Danio rerio: one gene and its partner. The protein of the gene in region 2 interacts with the protein of the main gene of each other region in a pairwise test. Links are inferred from orthologs where the notes say so. Each region holds a gene or a part of one and is shown on either strand. Other genes may lie near its edges.

Region 1 (8,965 bases), on a different chromosome or scaffold from region 2:
AATGAAAGCATGGTTCGAAATAGGGGTAGCTCTATTCAAATCAGTTGGATAATCACATGCTCAAGTTAATGAGCCTAATTAACATAATTGATTGTCAGGCCTGTTGCACCAGCTTGGTTTGGTTGCTTCATGTTTGTGCATTTGATTTTTGTTGAACTGTGAATGTTATTTTAAAATATTGTAATGCACATGCTGATGCGCGTGTAGGAGAAATGGATACTGGGTTAGAGGACCTCGAGCTGAGAGAGTCACAGAGGGAATATCTGGACTTTCTGGATGATGATGTGAATAATTTGAATAATCTTTATGTGTTTGACTTGTGGGCATTTTGAACTGTATAAACTTTGTTTTTTGTCTGTCAAACTAAATCTTTTTTTATTGTAATTTACAGCAAGATCAGGGCATCTACCATGAAAAGGTCAGGAGTATGGTGTCTGATGGACAGTGTCGTCTCATTGTCAACATTAATGATCTGAGAAGAAAAAGTGAAAAAAGAGCTAAAGAGTAAGTGATTAATTTGATTAAAAGTTGTCTATTTTGTTTCATATTTTGCTTTTTTGACAATTTTAGATTTTTTCTTTAACGTTGTTTGCTCTTCGGGATTTGGTCAGTAACAAACATGTGGCCAGATACATGTGAAACTCTGGTGTAAACAGCATGGTTGATGTACTATATGTTGCTCTGCTGTCTAAAATATACAAAAAAAAAAAAAAAAAACATGGAAGCTGCTAAATCACTTACTAAAGCAGAATATGGTGTAGCATTTTGATTTAACATGTGGTAAAGGATACATTTGACCAGATTAGCCTAATGTTACACTCGCTTGAGCATAAATTATAAGAACAAACATGAACGTTATCAAGATTCTTGCCATGGAAATCGTGAATTAGTTTGGTCAACCACAAACACTTTTTGTTCTTCAGACAGCTTTTTTTTCTCTCTTCTGCTTGACTTTACATGGCTTTCAGTATTCTAATACAATCTAATAGCAAAGCCCAAAACAATTGATCATTTTCAGCAGTAGTAAGCAAATAATATGATTCTCAGTCAGTTCAGTCACATTGTTTACGTTCTGTGTTTCCAATATGGCTGACTGATGATGTGTGATGAAAATTCTCTGTAGAGGAGAGTGGGGACAGTTGCAACACTTTTTGCAATTCTTTCAGTTTCTCGAAGACAATTTTATTTTTTTTTTGTGGAACCCCAAAATTTTAAAACAATAAACTCACTTCTGTTGGACAGGCACCCATATTGCTATAATATGTGTAGATATGTTAATAAATTCTTCATTTATTACTTAAAGAAAGGGACAATTGCAACATTCATTCAAATTATAATTTAAAAAAAATCTAAAACCTCGAGTTGGATTTTATTTTTTGGTAAACCCACTAAATGAAAATTGGTTAAATTATTAAATGTGTTGGCCATATAAATACAAAACCTTAAAAAAAAAAAAAAAAAAAAACGAGCAACATCCAATTATAAGGCCTAAAAAAACTGAACTTTTTTTTTTTTTTTTTTTTTTACTGAAAGATTGAACCTTTACCAAACTACTACTAAGAATGTTGACATGAATTAATTAATCAAATATTTTTTTCAAATTATATTAAAACTGTGATCAATAAAATTGTACATTTGTTAATATGGCAAGCTTTCAAATGAATTTTATAACAATTGGGGACAGTTACAGAAGCATGTTCAGCAACTCTGTCAACCTTGATTAAACATTCCATGCTAGAGAGATACAATAGCTTGTTACAAACGCTTGATAGCTATACCTATTTAAAGCTATGAAAACAGTGATTTAAATTATACAAATGAATAATGTTTCACAAAAACAGATTGGGCTGTATGAGAAATTTTCTGATCATTACAAAAAACTATTTTTTTTTTTTTTTTTTTTTTTTAAATACCTAAAATGAGTTTTAGACTGAAGAAATGGTCACATATGGCTGATTTCTCTTGGATGGAAGAAGGATCCAACTGACAATATGTAGTATGAATATCATCCCTCCATAGCTCATTCCTTAATGGAGAAATAAGTCTTGTTGTAACTGCCCCATGTTGCCCCCATTCTCCCATACACTGTAAAAAATGCTGGATTTCACACAATCAATTTGTGTTAAAACATCTCGAAGAAAATAAGTTAACCTATTAGTTTTTACAAATGGATATTGATTTAACATAAAACTGTTAGGTTTCCCCCAAAAAAGCTTGAATTGTGTTGTTTCAGCTTATTTTAAATAAGTAGTGGAAGCGGCAAATGTAATTTTGAGTGTATATCCTTGAATCTTTATTGATCTGATTAAGTGTCTCTTTTTAATAGATTACTGAAGAATGCTTTCGCTGAGCTGGTGGCGTTTCAGAAAGCCCTGAAGGATCTCGTGGCTTCAATAGATGCCACTTATGCTAAGCAGTTTGAGGAGTTTCATGTTGGTTTCGAGGGCAGTTTTGGGAACAAACATGTGTCTCCTCGTACTCTGAGTGCTCGCTTTCTGGGAAACCTTGTGTGTGTGGAAGGCATCGTGACCAAGTGTGAGTAAGATTTACTTTACTTATTACTTATTAAAGCAATTGTTTCGTCCAAAACAGAAAATGTTGTTCTCTTTTACTCATCCTTCACTTGTTCCAAACTTGATTGACCATCTGATTTTAGATGAACACAAAAAAACCCATCTAAATTGTACAACTTTTATCAAAAGGAAACCTTAATAAACTGTTTTAGATTTTTATCTTATATATTATCATTATTGTTATTTATTTATTTTACCGTGGACATTATTTATTGCTGTTGATTACTTTTAATTGTTAGAATATATTTATAATTATAAAAAAATTGGTATTTATAAAATGTGATAAACTTGATGTATTGTATTTTTGCCATGACATAGCCATAGAAGCTGAAATGGCAATAAAATTAAATCTCTCTCTCTCTCTCTCTCTCTCTCTCTCTCTCTCTCTCTCTCTCTCTCTCTCTCTCAACACAAAAGAAGATATTTCTTAGCTGTGACATCCTTATATTTATTTTTCCTAGTATGGAAGTCAATGGTTACATGCTTGCAGCTTCTTTTTTTAAATATTGTTTTGAACACAAAAGATGATAACAAACTCGTACATTGAAAAAGGTGTTGCATGCAGAACTGTTGCAAACAATTTGTTTGTGTTGATTTTAAACACATAAATTAAATTGAATCATGTTAAACTTAATTTGTTTGTTTAAATTCAACACAATTAAATTGTTTACGACCACTTAACGTAAGAAAATTTAGTAAATCCAAGGAATCATCTTTGAATTTTTTTTTTCAGTGTAGGTTTGGAAGCATGTGAGGGTGAGAAATTGAGTAAATACATTTTTTGGGTGAAACATTCCTGTAAGCGCTCATTTAACTGCCTATACTTGATGTTTGTCATTTCACATAGATAAAGTAATGTTCAGAATGTTACACGCTGATTTCTAAATTGTTTATCAGAGCTTTGAATATGCACGTTGCATATTATTTCTATATCGGATATAAATGTGTACAAGTGCATGTTTATTCCACTTGGTTGTCTTCATTGTCTTTCCATCTGTAGGTTCTTTGGTGAGGCCTAAGATTATGCGCAGTGTCCACTATTGTCCAGCTACCAAGAAAACCTTGGAACGAAAGTATACAGATCTGACATCATTGGATGCTTTTCCTTCTAGTGCCATCTATCCGACCAAAGTGAGTTACTGTAAATGGCGTTAAATGTTAGAGCAAACGACTCCCATGCGAATGGTCGCCTGTTCGATACCAGCTTGGAGCGGGTTGGGTGGTTTAAGACCAGCGGGGTTACATATAGTAGTATGTTTTTTTTTTTTTTGTTATGTCTGTCTGTCTTTCTCTCTGTCAGTTGAGAATATGTTTAATGGTTACATTTGATAATTAAATGTAATATTTACAGGCACAAATATTAACATCTTTATTTGTTCTTTGTTTACATATTTAAATGAATAAACTTCAAATTTTAAGAGTTTAAACCATAAATTTGATATTTAAATAATTTATTTAAAATTGTTTAAAGTTAATACATGCATACACTTGTTTAGTGAATATTTAAAATGATAATTTATTAAGCTTGTATTATGATGCCTATTTCAAGACACTTACTGAAATGTTTAAAGTTTTTACATTTAAGTTCATTTAAATTTGTTGAATACATAATGAAATAATTTAAATTAAGTTTAATAAAAGGAATATTTCAGTAAATAATAATATATTAATTATTAATTTTTCCATATACTTATGAAGAAACATAATGCATTTTGTAAATATTTACCTATATTTAAATTCAGTTCAAGTCAATTTCATTCAAAGCTAATTTTTTTTATTTAAATGTGAATAATAAATGTAATTACTAACTCCATTTTTTAAATAAGTAGATTGTTTTGTTGTTGTTTTTTTGTTTTATAGTCAAATAGTTTACATTTTAAATATGTGTTAAATATTTAGTTAAATTTTAATTTAATTATTTGTATCAAATAATCAAACGCCTCTAGTGGACTTTAAAAAACTTTTTTTTTTTTTTTTAACTATTTTGTCTACATTCATGCACATCACATTAGCATCTGTTTTTCTTGTTACCTCAAACATGGATGATGGTCTCTCTGTACATCCTGTCAATGTTTTTACTGTACTTTACTGTACATAGGATGAAGAAAACAATCCTCTGGAGACAGAGTTTGGCCTTTGCTGCTATAAAGACCACCAGACACTGACCATTCAGGAGATGCCAGAGAAAGCCCCCGCTGGACAACTGCCACGCTCTGTCGACATCATTGCCAATGATGACCTCGTGGATCGGGTCAAGCCAGGTGACCGCGTGCAGATCGTAGGTGTTTACCGCTGCCTGCCCGCAAAACAGGGCGGTTTCACCTCAGGGACCTTCAGGTTTGTTTGTTCAGAGTCCTACAGTTATCAATATTGAATCCCCTCAGAATAACATCTTGACTCTCTGCAGAACAATCTTATTGGCTAACAATGTGAAGCTTATGAGTAAGGAGATCGTACCCACCTTCTCTGGTGATGATGTCGCCAAGATCAAGAAGTTTTGTAAAGCGCATTCGAAAGTAAGATGACTTTAAAAGGGTCGTGGTGTGAAAAATCTATTTTCCTAGGTTTATTAAAAATTGCTGAAAAATGAATATCGTTATAAACTTTCTTCAAGCTGTAAGAATGAATTTAGGAACACAATGGTATATGATGTCACAGTACGTTCATTTGCATACTGCCTCCAGCATACAAGCTCCACCCAATTCCGCCTAAGTAAAAGACCCGTGCCTCAAAATCAGAGCTTTTCACAAAAATTGAACATGGATTTTCTGCATATACATGTCATTTATTGTTAAAAATAGCATTATTGAAACCAAATTAACAAGTATTAAAACAACTTGACAAACAAAACAAACAAAAAAAAAACTCATGCCATGACCCCTTTTACTGATCTGTTTCATATTTTTTTTTAAACAATTGACCAACTCTACCTTTAAAAAAAAATTTCTTACTTTCTTTCTTTCTTTCTTTCTTTCTTTATTTCTTTCTTTCTTTCTTAAAAAAAGCCTTTCAATTCCTTTTAAAACTCAGTCCTGATGGGTGTCATCCTTGCTACGGTGTTTGTGCATTTCAGGATGTTTTCGAGCAGTTGAGTCGGTCTTTGGCCCCCAGCATTCATGGCCACGAGTACATAAAGAAGGCCATTCTCTGTCTGCTGCTAGGAGGCAATGAGACCAACCTGGAGAATGGGACGCGCATCAGAGGAGACATCAACATTCTGCTCATAGGTCTGCATATGGTTTAATTTTAGAGTATTTAAATCATTTAAAATATCCTTATTAGTTTTTATATGTTTGTAAATTTGTTCTGATTTCTTTATAACTGTTTACTCATTTGAAATTAATCTAATTATTGTAAGACATAGAGAAGTTATCTCTGTGGTTATTTGTATAAAAATAATGAATTTGATGTACATCTAAACTTATAGATGTATTTCTATAAAATATTGTACAGAAATTATGTATTACTGTTCAAATTTCATTTATATTTGTAAATTGACCTTTATAAATTAAACATTTATGAATAAAAATATTTAGTATTTTAGTTTTTAGCTATTTAAATATAAATTATAGATTTTATATAATTAGAAATTTTAGTAGTTGCAAAGTGCACTAGTTTCGGTTTTGTATTTTTTTAGGTGATCCTTCTGTCGCAAAGTCTCAGTTGCTGCGGTATGTTTTGTTCACGGCACCAAGAGCAATTCCCACCACTGGACGGGGCTCATCTGGGGTGGGTTTGACAGCGGCGGTCACGACTGATCAGGAGACAGGTAACACTTAATTTTTAGTTGTTGTCATGTTCATCTTATTTTTTTTCTACCCTTAATTTCCTTCTGTAAAGGTATCAAATTAATTTCTTCTTTCACCTTTTTGAGCTTTTTTGTTTTTCAGTTTTTTTTTTAAACCCTCTGATACCAGATTTTCAAATAAATGTTTCCTAATAAACCACAAATCAATGAAAAGCTTTTATTTATTTTGGCTTTCAGATTATGTATGAATCTCGATTTACAAAAATAACAGTTATGACTGGTTTTCTGGTCCAGGGACACATACTGTACATAGCCCGGCTGTTAACTAACCCTTAAGCCCAACCTGCTCTGGTTAGACTCATTTTTACAAGTCATACACTCGAAATACGAAATAAAGGTACAAGATATTATATTTATTTATTTATTTATTTATTTATTTTTGAGTTAAAATCCAATTCAATGGTCTATGCGAGGCTAAAAGGTAACAAAACTGACTAAATGAATTCAAAAATAATAAAGCTCAGCTGTTTAACTCTACACTCTCAGAAATAAAGGTACAAGAGCTGTCACTGGGAAAGTACCTTTACAAAAGATACATATTTGTACCTGAAAAGTCCATATTAGTACTTCAAAGGTACATTTTAGGTGCATTTGGGTACTGATATGTATCTTTGAGGTACCACAAAGGCTGCTTTAGGTACAAATATGTAAAGGTACTTTCCCAATGATAGCTCTTGTACCTTTATTTCTTGAGAGTGTAGAGTTAAACAGCTGAGCTTTATTATTTTTTTAATTCATTCAGTCAGTCTGGATATATATATATATATATATATATATATATATATATATATATATATATATATATATATATATATATATATATATATATATATATATATATATATATATATATATATATATATATATATATATATATATATATATATATATATATATATAAAGAATCGACTTGCGTGTTGTAAAACCAACAGAAAATAAGAAGTTGCTATTTTCTAGGTCAATGTGGCTAAAAACTATACTCTCAATCCAGCATAATAATCAAGGAACTTTGATTCAATACCATGCCTGAAGCAAACACAATATTACATAGTGCTTGAAAATAGTCCACAGCTAACTAGGTAACAGCCCTGCATAATATTATTGTAAGTGCAGCAGCCACAATACACAATGTAACTCAAGAATAGAATAAGTAGAGTCAAGTGTATAATTGGAAAATTATCAAAACACTTTTTTTTATTATTTGAGTGAGATTCTAATGGTCTAATCTGATTCAATGATCTATGCTAAGCTAAAAATGCTCCTGCCAGACCTGGAGATCCGCTGAATGGATTTTTAAAAATTTTTTACAGGAGTTGTAAAATGAGCCTATTTCCAAAAAAGTGCAGTGTTTCTTTTTTAATTTAGCATGATGCAAGGAAGCTGAGAATGAATTTGTGCCTGTTCTCCTCTGGCTGTTGCAGGTGAGCGCCGTCTGGAGGCAGGAGCTATGGTGCTTGCTGACAGAGGTGTGGTTTGCATTGATGAGTTTGATAAGATGTCAGACATGGACCGAACCGCCATCCATGAAGTGATGGAGCAGGGCAGGGTCACCATTTCCAAAGCTGGGATTCAGGCAAGGCTGAACGCTCGCTGCAGTGTGTTAGCTGCTGCTAATCCAGTGTACGGAAGGGTAAATATTGATTGGTGGCTTGACTGGTATAAGTACTTTCTATTAAGAATTGAGAATTTAATATTCTGTTAATTCTAATGTGTTCAATTGGGTTAATTTATCAAGTATGACCAGTATAAGACCCCCATGGAGAACATCGGGCTCCAGGATTCCTTGCTTTCCAGATTTGATCTGCTCTTCATAGTTCTGGATCAGATGGATCCTGACAGTGATAAGGAGATCTCTGAGCATGTGTTGCGTATGCATCGCTACAGAGCACCGGGAGAAGCAGAGGGAACAGGTGAGACTGACCTCTGCTGGACAAAACACAACCACCTCTAGAGATGAGTGGAGATAAGTGCTAGAAGCTTGTTGTTGTTTGGCATAAGTTCAATTGCTTGTAAAGAACAATTATGGTGGAATTACAAGCTGATAACTTTGATAGGTTTTTTTTCTCTCTCAGAATTGACAATTTCAAGTTTACATTTTAAGTTGTTTTTTTTTTTTTTTGCATTTCTGAATTTTCTTTTTTTCTTGTAAGCTATTACTTTGTAATCGAGTTTGTAACTTGCAATTTTGTGCTAACATTTTATAAATATGGAATTTTCCTTTTTTTTTTTTGACTCCAGTTGAGTATACACCCCCCACCCCTTTAGAATTGCAAGTTACATTTATCACCATTTTAATTTTATTTGGTTTTTACAGTTCTGAGAAGAGAAGTCGTAATTATGGGGTGGAAAAACACTAATCAAAGGATTTTTTTTTTTACTACTTTATTCAAATGTAGCGTTCACCAGTATAGAATAAATGTAAAAACACAACCTTTTTATTTATTTTTATATATATATATATATATATATATATATATATATATATATATATATATATATATATATATATATATATATATATATTTATTTATTTATTTATTTATTTATTTATTTATTTATTTATTTATTTATTTATTTATTTATT
Region 2 (3,978 bases):
AACAAAATGTTGTCCATTTTGTAATCAACATCACTAAATACAATTATTTTTTTTCTTTTTCGTTTGTTGAAATAGACCACATTTAATCTGTTCCACTATGCAATCAGCCACGATGAAAAAGTCTTCCCAGAACCACAGAAGTTCAAACCTGAGCGCTGGCTGCGAGACGGCAGAACCAGACCAAACCCGTTTGGGTCAATCCCATTTGGATTTGGAGTCAGAGCCTGTGTCGGTCGTCGCATTGCTGAACTGGAAATGCATCTGGCTTTGGCAAGGGTGAGATTTATTTTTCAGTTCTGTGTCAGACAGTGACATTGCATTATTATTGTGCTGTTTGTGATTGTGTTTTTAATTGCAGCTAATCAAGTTGTTTGAAATGCGACCAGACCCGACTGTAGGTGAAGTTAAGGCAAACTTTCGTTCAGTGCTTGTTCCCAACAAAAAGGTCAATCTGCACTTTGTGGAGAGACAGAAGACTGAAACATAGCTCAACTAGACATGAGCTGCATATGTACATAAGGAATTATCAGCTGAAGTGATTCATGTGAATTTGTCAACGGCTTTAACTGAATATGATTCTTCTGTTCTTTGTTAAAGACCCTGTACAAGAGTATGAAGAATATACTTTGTCACTCAATAATATTTATTTCATTCTGATAATAGCCATGAAAATATTTTATAGATGTAAAAATCAATTAAACTTTATAATGAATTCAAAATGTCTGTGTTCTTGTTCATTATTGGAGAAACAGGAATTGTGGATATTTGTTCATTTCACTGCAAAACTTTCATTTCTTGCATTTCTTGACAATCTGCTCATTTTGTATTAACTGTACTTTGCAAATGAATTATCAGACAAACAAATTAAGTTTTTTTTTTTGAAGACTTGCATTAACACAAATTCATTGTCCACAGCTTGTCTTATTTTTATTGTGGAATACATTAAGCATGCCATGTATCTTCCAGAAAAAAGTACAATATGTTTTTTGTGTTTGCATATATTGTTTATTTAAAATATTTAGCAAGTTGAATGCGTTAAAAATATTTCCACAAGGCGAAATGGACTTTTATTCAGCCTTTTATAATGAAATGGAGAAATGCGCTAATGTTGTCATGCTCCTGCCTGCCTGTACACGCCGCAGTCGCCAGAGACTCTCGTTGAATCGACGCGCCAGTTCACGAAGAAGAGAAATAAACATCCGGTCCGAGTAAGAAAAGGACGTCGCTAAAGTATTTACAGTTTTTACTCCTTTTTAATTTGAAATGTGCTTGACTTTTGCGTACAAAATATAGACTTGAAACACATACACATATTATAGGTTTTTAGGTAGTTCGTTTTGGAGTTAAACAAGTAATCGGCATTCAGCTCTCAGATCGCCATTTGTTTTTAACGATGTCCCACTTGAGCTTTTAACTTTACATTTAATAACTTCTGTCATGTGACTTCTAATAGATAAAATGGTAAAACATTGGTAACTTTTCTGTCTTTGTTTTGCAGGATTCGTTGGTAATGACTAGCTCACGATCAGATCAGTAACGTTAAATCTTAACGATTGTTTTTCTTGCCTCATCCATTATGAATCCTTCAAACATCTTTGGCAGACCACAAGCTGCCTTTCAGGCACCGAACACTAATCAGTCTGGAAACCTATTTCAGACTTTTGCCCAGCAGAAACCAACACAGGGTGTTAGTTTTGGCCAACCTTCTGCTTTTAGTCAGCCAGCTTTTGTTCAGCCAACACCACAGCCTCCAGTCTTCACACCCACTTTTGGCCAAACCGGCGGGTTATCTCAAGGATCGGGGCAAACATCATCATTTTCCTTTTTGGGAACACACCCTGCCTTTGGGCAGCCAAGTTTAGGTCAGGGGGGCACACTTGGATTTGGACAACCACCACCACCTTCATACTCTCAAGCTACGGGACAGACTCAGAACTCAGCTTTCGGTCAGCCGTCTGCATTCAGCCTTCCCTCCTATGTCTCGCAGTCCTCCTCAACCAGCTTCAGTAGCACTGTTACTAGTCAGCCTAGTTTTGGTCAGCTCTCTGGTCTTCCTGTACCAGCAGCAACATCCATCTCCTCAATAAGCGGCAGGGCTGAGAATCCCACAGGTGGGAATCAGTTTTCTTTCAAACCACCAAATGAAGCAGTCTTCAAGCCTATTTTTAGTGTCAGTCCGGAACCAACAAGCACGAATATGTCTTCTGCTTCAGAAACTGCTGGATCCTCTAAGGTGGTGGATAATTCCTCTGGTGGTTCACTGTTTTCATGCGTAAAACCAAGCGCTCTGGGCTTCAGCTTCTCTCAGCCGGCTGCAGCTCCTTCTGTTTCTCTCTCTAATTCTAATTTTTCACAAAAGGAGACAGTTGGTGGTGGCGGCAGTAGCATTCAGTTCACCTTCTCTCAACCTGCCAACCCGTCCAGCAGCAGTACATCTGCTTCTCAGCCCACGACTCCCTCCACCTTCAGCTTCACACCCCAAAGCCTTCAACCTCAGTCAGACACCAAAGTGCCTGCGTTTGGTGGTACTGGGATTGGACCCTTTGCTTTTGGGGTCCCAAAAACTGTAAGAACCGAAGATAAAACGGGTGATGGGCAGAGCAGTGGAGGGGAAACAGCTTTTGTGAGTTTTGGTATGAAACGGAAAGAGGAGCCTGCAGATGCAGCTAAAAGTGATCCCAGTGAAACTGGAGCAGACGGGCCAAGACAACCTGCCAAACGCCCACTTCTGAGAAGCCGTGTCATGGCTGGAGGGCTCTTCCGTGTTGCAATGTCTGACGTCCTAAAATCCAAAGTGAGCCCAGTCAAGAGAGAAGATAATCTTCCTGAAAGACCAGATCCGCCTGGTCCATCTAGTGATCTGGCCACTGCACTTCTGAGGCCTCAGGCTTCCTTAGTTTCGAAAAAAGCAGAAGATGTCTGTAAGTCTTTTCTTGTGACTTTGACAATATTAAAATTCAGATGTTAAAAAAAATTAATTAAATGCTACAAGGAAATTTGTTATGTTTAACAGCAGATTGCATATAACAAGAGTTTAATAAAAATTAGTAGTTTATTTTAAAAGCATTTTTTAAGATGGCAAAGATAATCTTAATGTTAAGAAGATTAAAAAGACACAACTGAATAGTATCAATTTCAACTGGTATAGACCAATATAAATATCATATATAAAGCTACTGATATGCCATGGAATATTTAAAAAGTCATTTTGTTACCTTGTTGAGGTCTTTTGAATAAGAGGAATTTTATGTTCTTTAAAGTGAATGTTTTTTTGTGAAAAGTTTACAAATCACAGCATTTGGGTTACACAGGGCATAATAAATAATAATATTTAAATATTTTTGAAATATTAATACAGGGCAGAGGGTTACTTTTTTATTATGTAAACAAATATCACTATATGTTTAAGACAAATGGCTGAAATTTAAATTTTTAGAATGTAGACCAGGGTTCAACGCTAAGGATTTGTTCTATTGGCTGTGTCAAATTTCTACTGACCCCACCAAAAAAAAAAAGCAAATAGCTATTTCTTAGCCGCATATTATAAACAATGTGTCAAAAGCCAAACATAACAGCATACACTTTTTATTCAGCATAACTTTTCTTTAATCTTTAAATACAATTACAATTTTGATGAAACTTAATTTCCCAAAGATAATCAAAAATAACGTCTGTGAACTGTAAATATTTAAAAAAAAATGTTAATAAATGTACAGTACCGGTCAAAAGTTTGGGGTCAGTAGGATTTTACACGTTTTAAAATAGGCTTCTCCTACTTACCAACGCTGCATTTATTTAATCAAAAATACAGTACAAATTGTAAAATTGTGAAATGTTATTGCACTATAAAATAAATGTTCAAAAGTAGTTTATCATTTAATTTAAACATTTATTCCAGTGATTTTAAAGATGATTTTTCAGCTTCATTACTCCAGTCTTCAGAGACGCATGATCCTTCAGAAATCACTCTAAAATTAG

Evidence for each region.
Region 1: the proteins of mcm3ap (region 2) and mcm3l interact in a two-hybrid assay, tested with the Homo sapiens proteins (2 studies listed by BioGRID). The link is inferred for Danio rerio from reciprocal best matches to the Homo sapiens genes MCM3AP and MCM3.

What each region holds. Positions count from the first base shown.
Region 1 is NC_133195.1:6,679,130-6,688,094, reverse strand, and holds the start of mcm3l (MCM3 minichromosome maintenance deficient 3 (S. cerevisiae), like), read left to right. Parts: upstream 1-93; 5' UTR 94-212; coding exon 213-284; intron 285-391; coding exon 392-504; intron 505-2,326; coding exon 2,327-2,535; intron 2,536-3,573; coding exon 3,574-3,704; intron 3,705-4,671; coding exon 4,672-4,910; intron 4,911-4,980; coding exon 4,981-5,089; intron 5,090-5,646; coding exon 5,647-5,800; intron 5,801-6,210; coding exon 6,211-6,342; intron 6,343-7,802; coding exon 7,803-8,011; intron 8,012-8,116; coding exon 8,117-8,291; intron 8,292-8,965. UniProt on the Homo sapiens protein: Acts as a component of the MCM2-7 complex (MCM complex) which is the replicative helicase essential for 'once per cell cycle' DNA replication initiation and elongation in eukaryotic cells.
Region 2 is NC_133184.1:40,169,496-40,173,473, forward strand, and holds the start of mcm3ap (germinal-center associated nuclear protein), read left to right. Parts: upstream 1-1,178; 5' UTR 1,179-1,208; exon of another isoform or gene 1,209-1,230; intron 1,231-1,498; 5' UTR 1,499-1,576; coding exon 1,577-2,921; intron 2,922-3,978. Other genes in the region: cyp27a1.4 (cytochrome P450 27A1.4), read left to right, coding at 76-276, 359-487.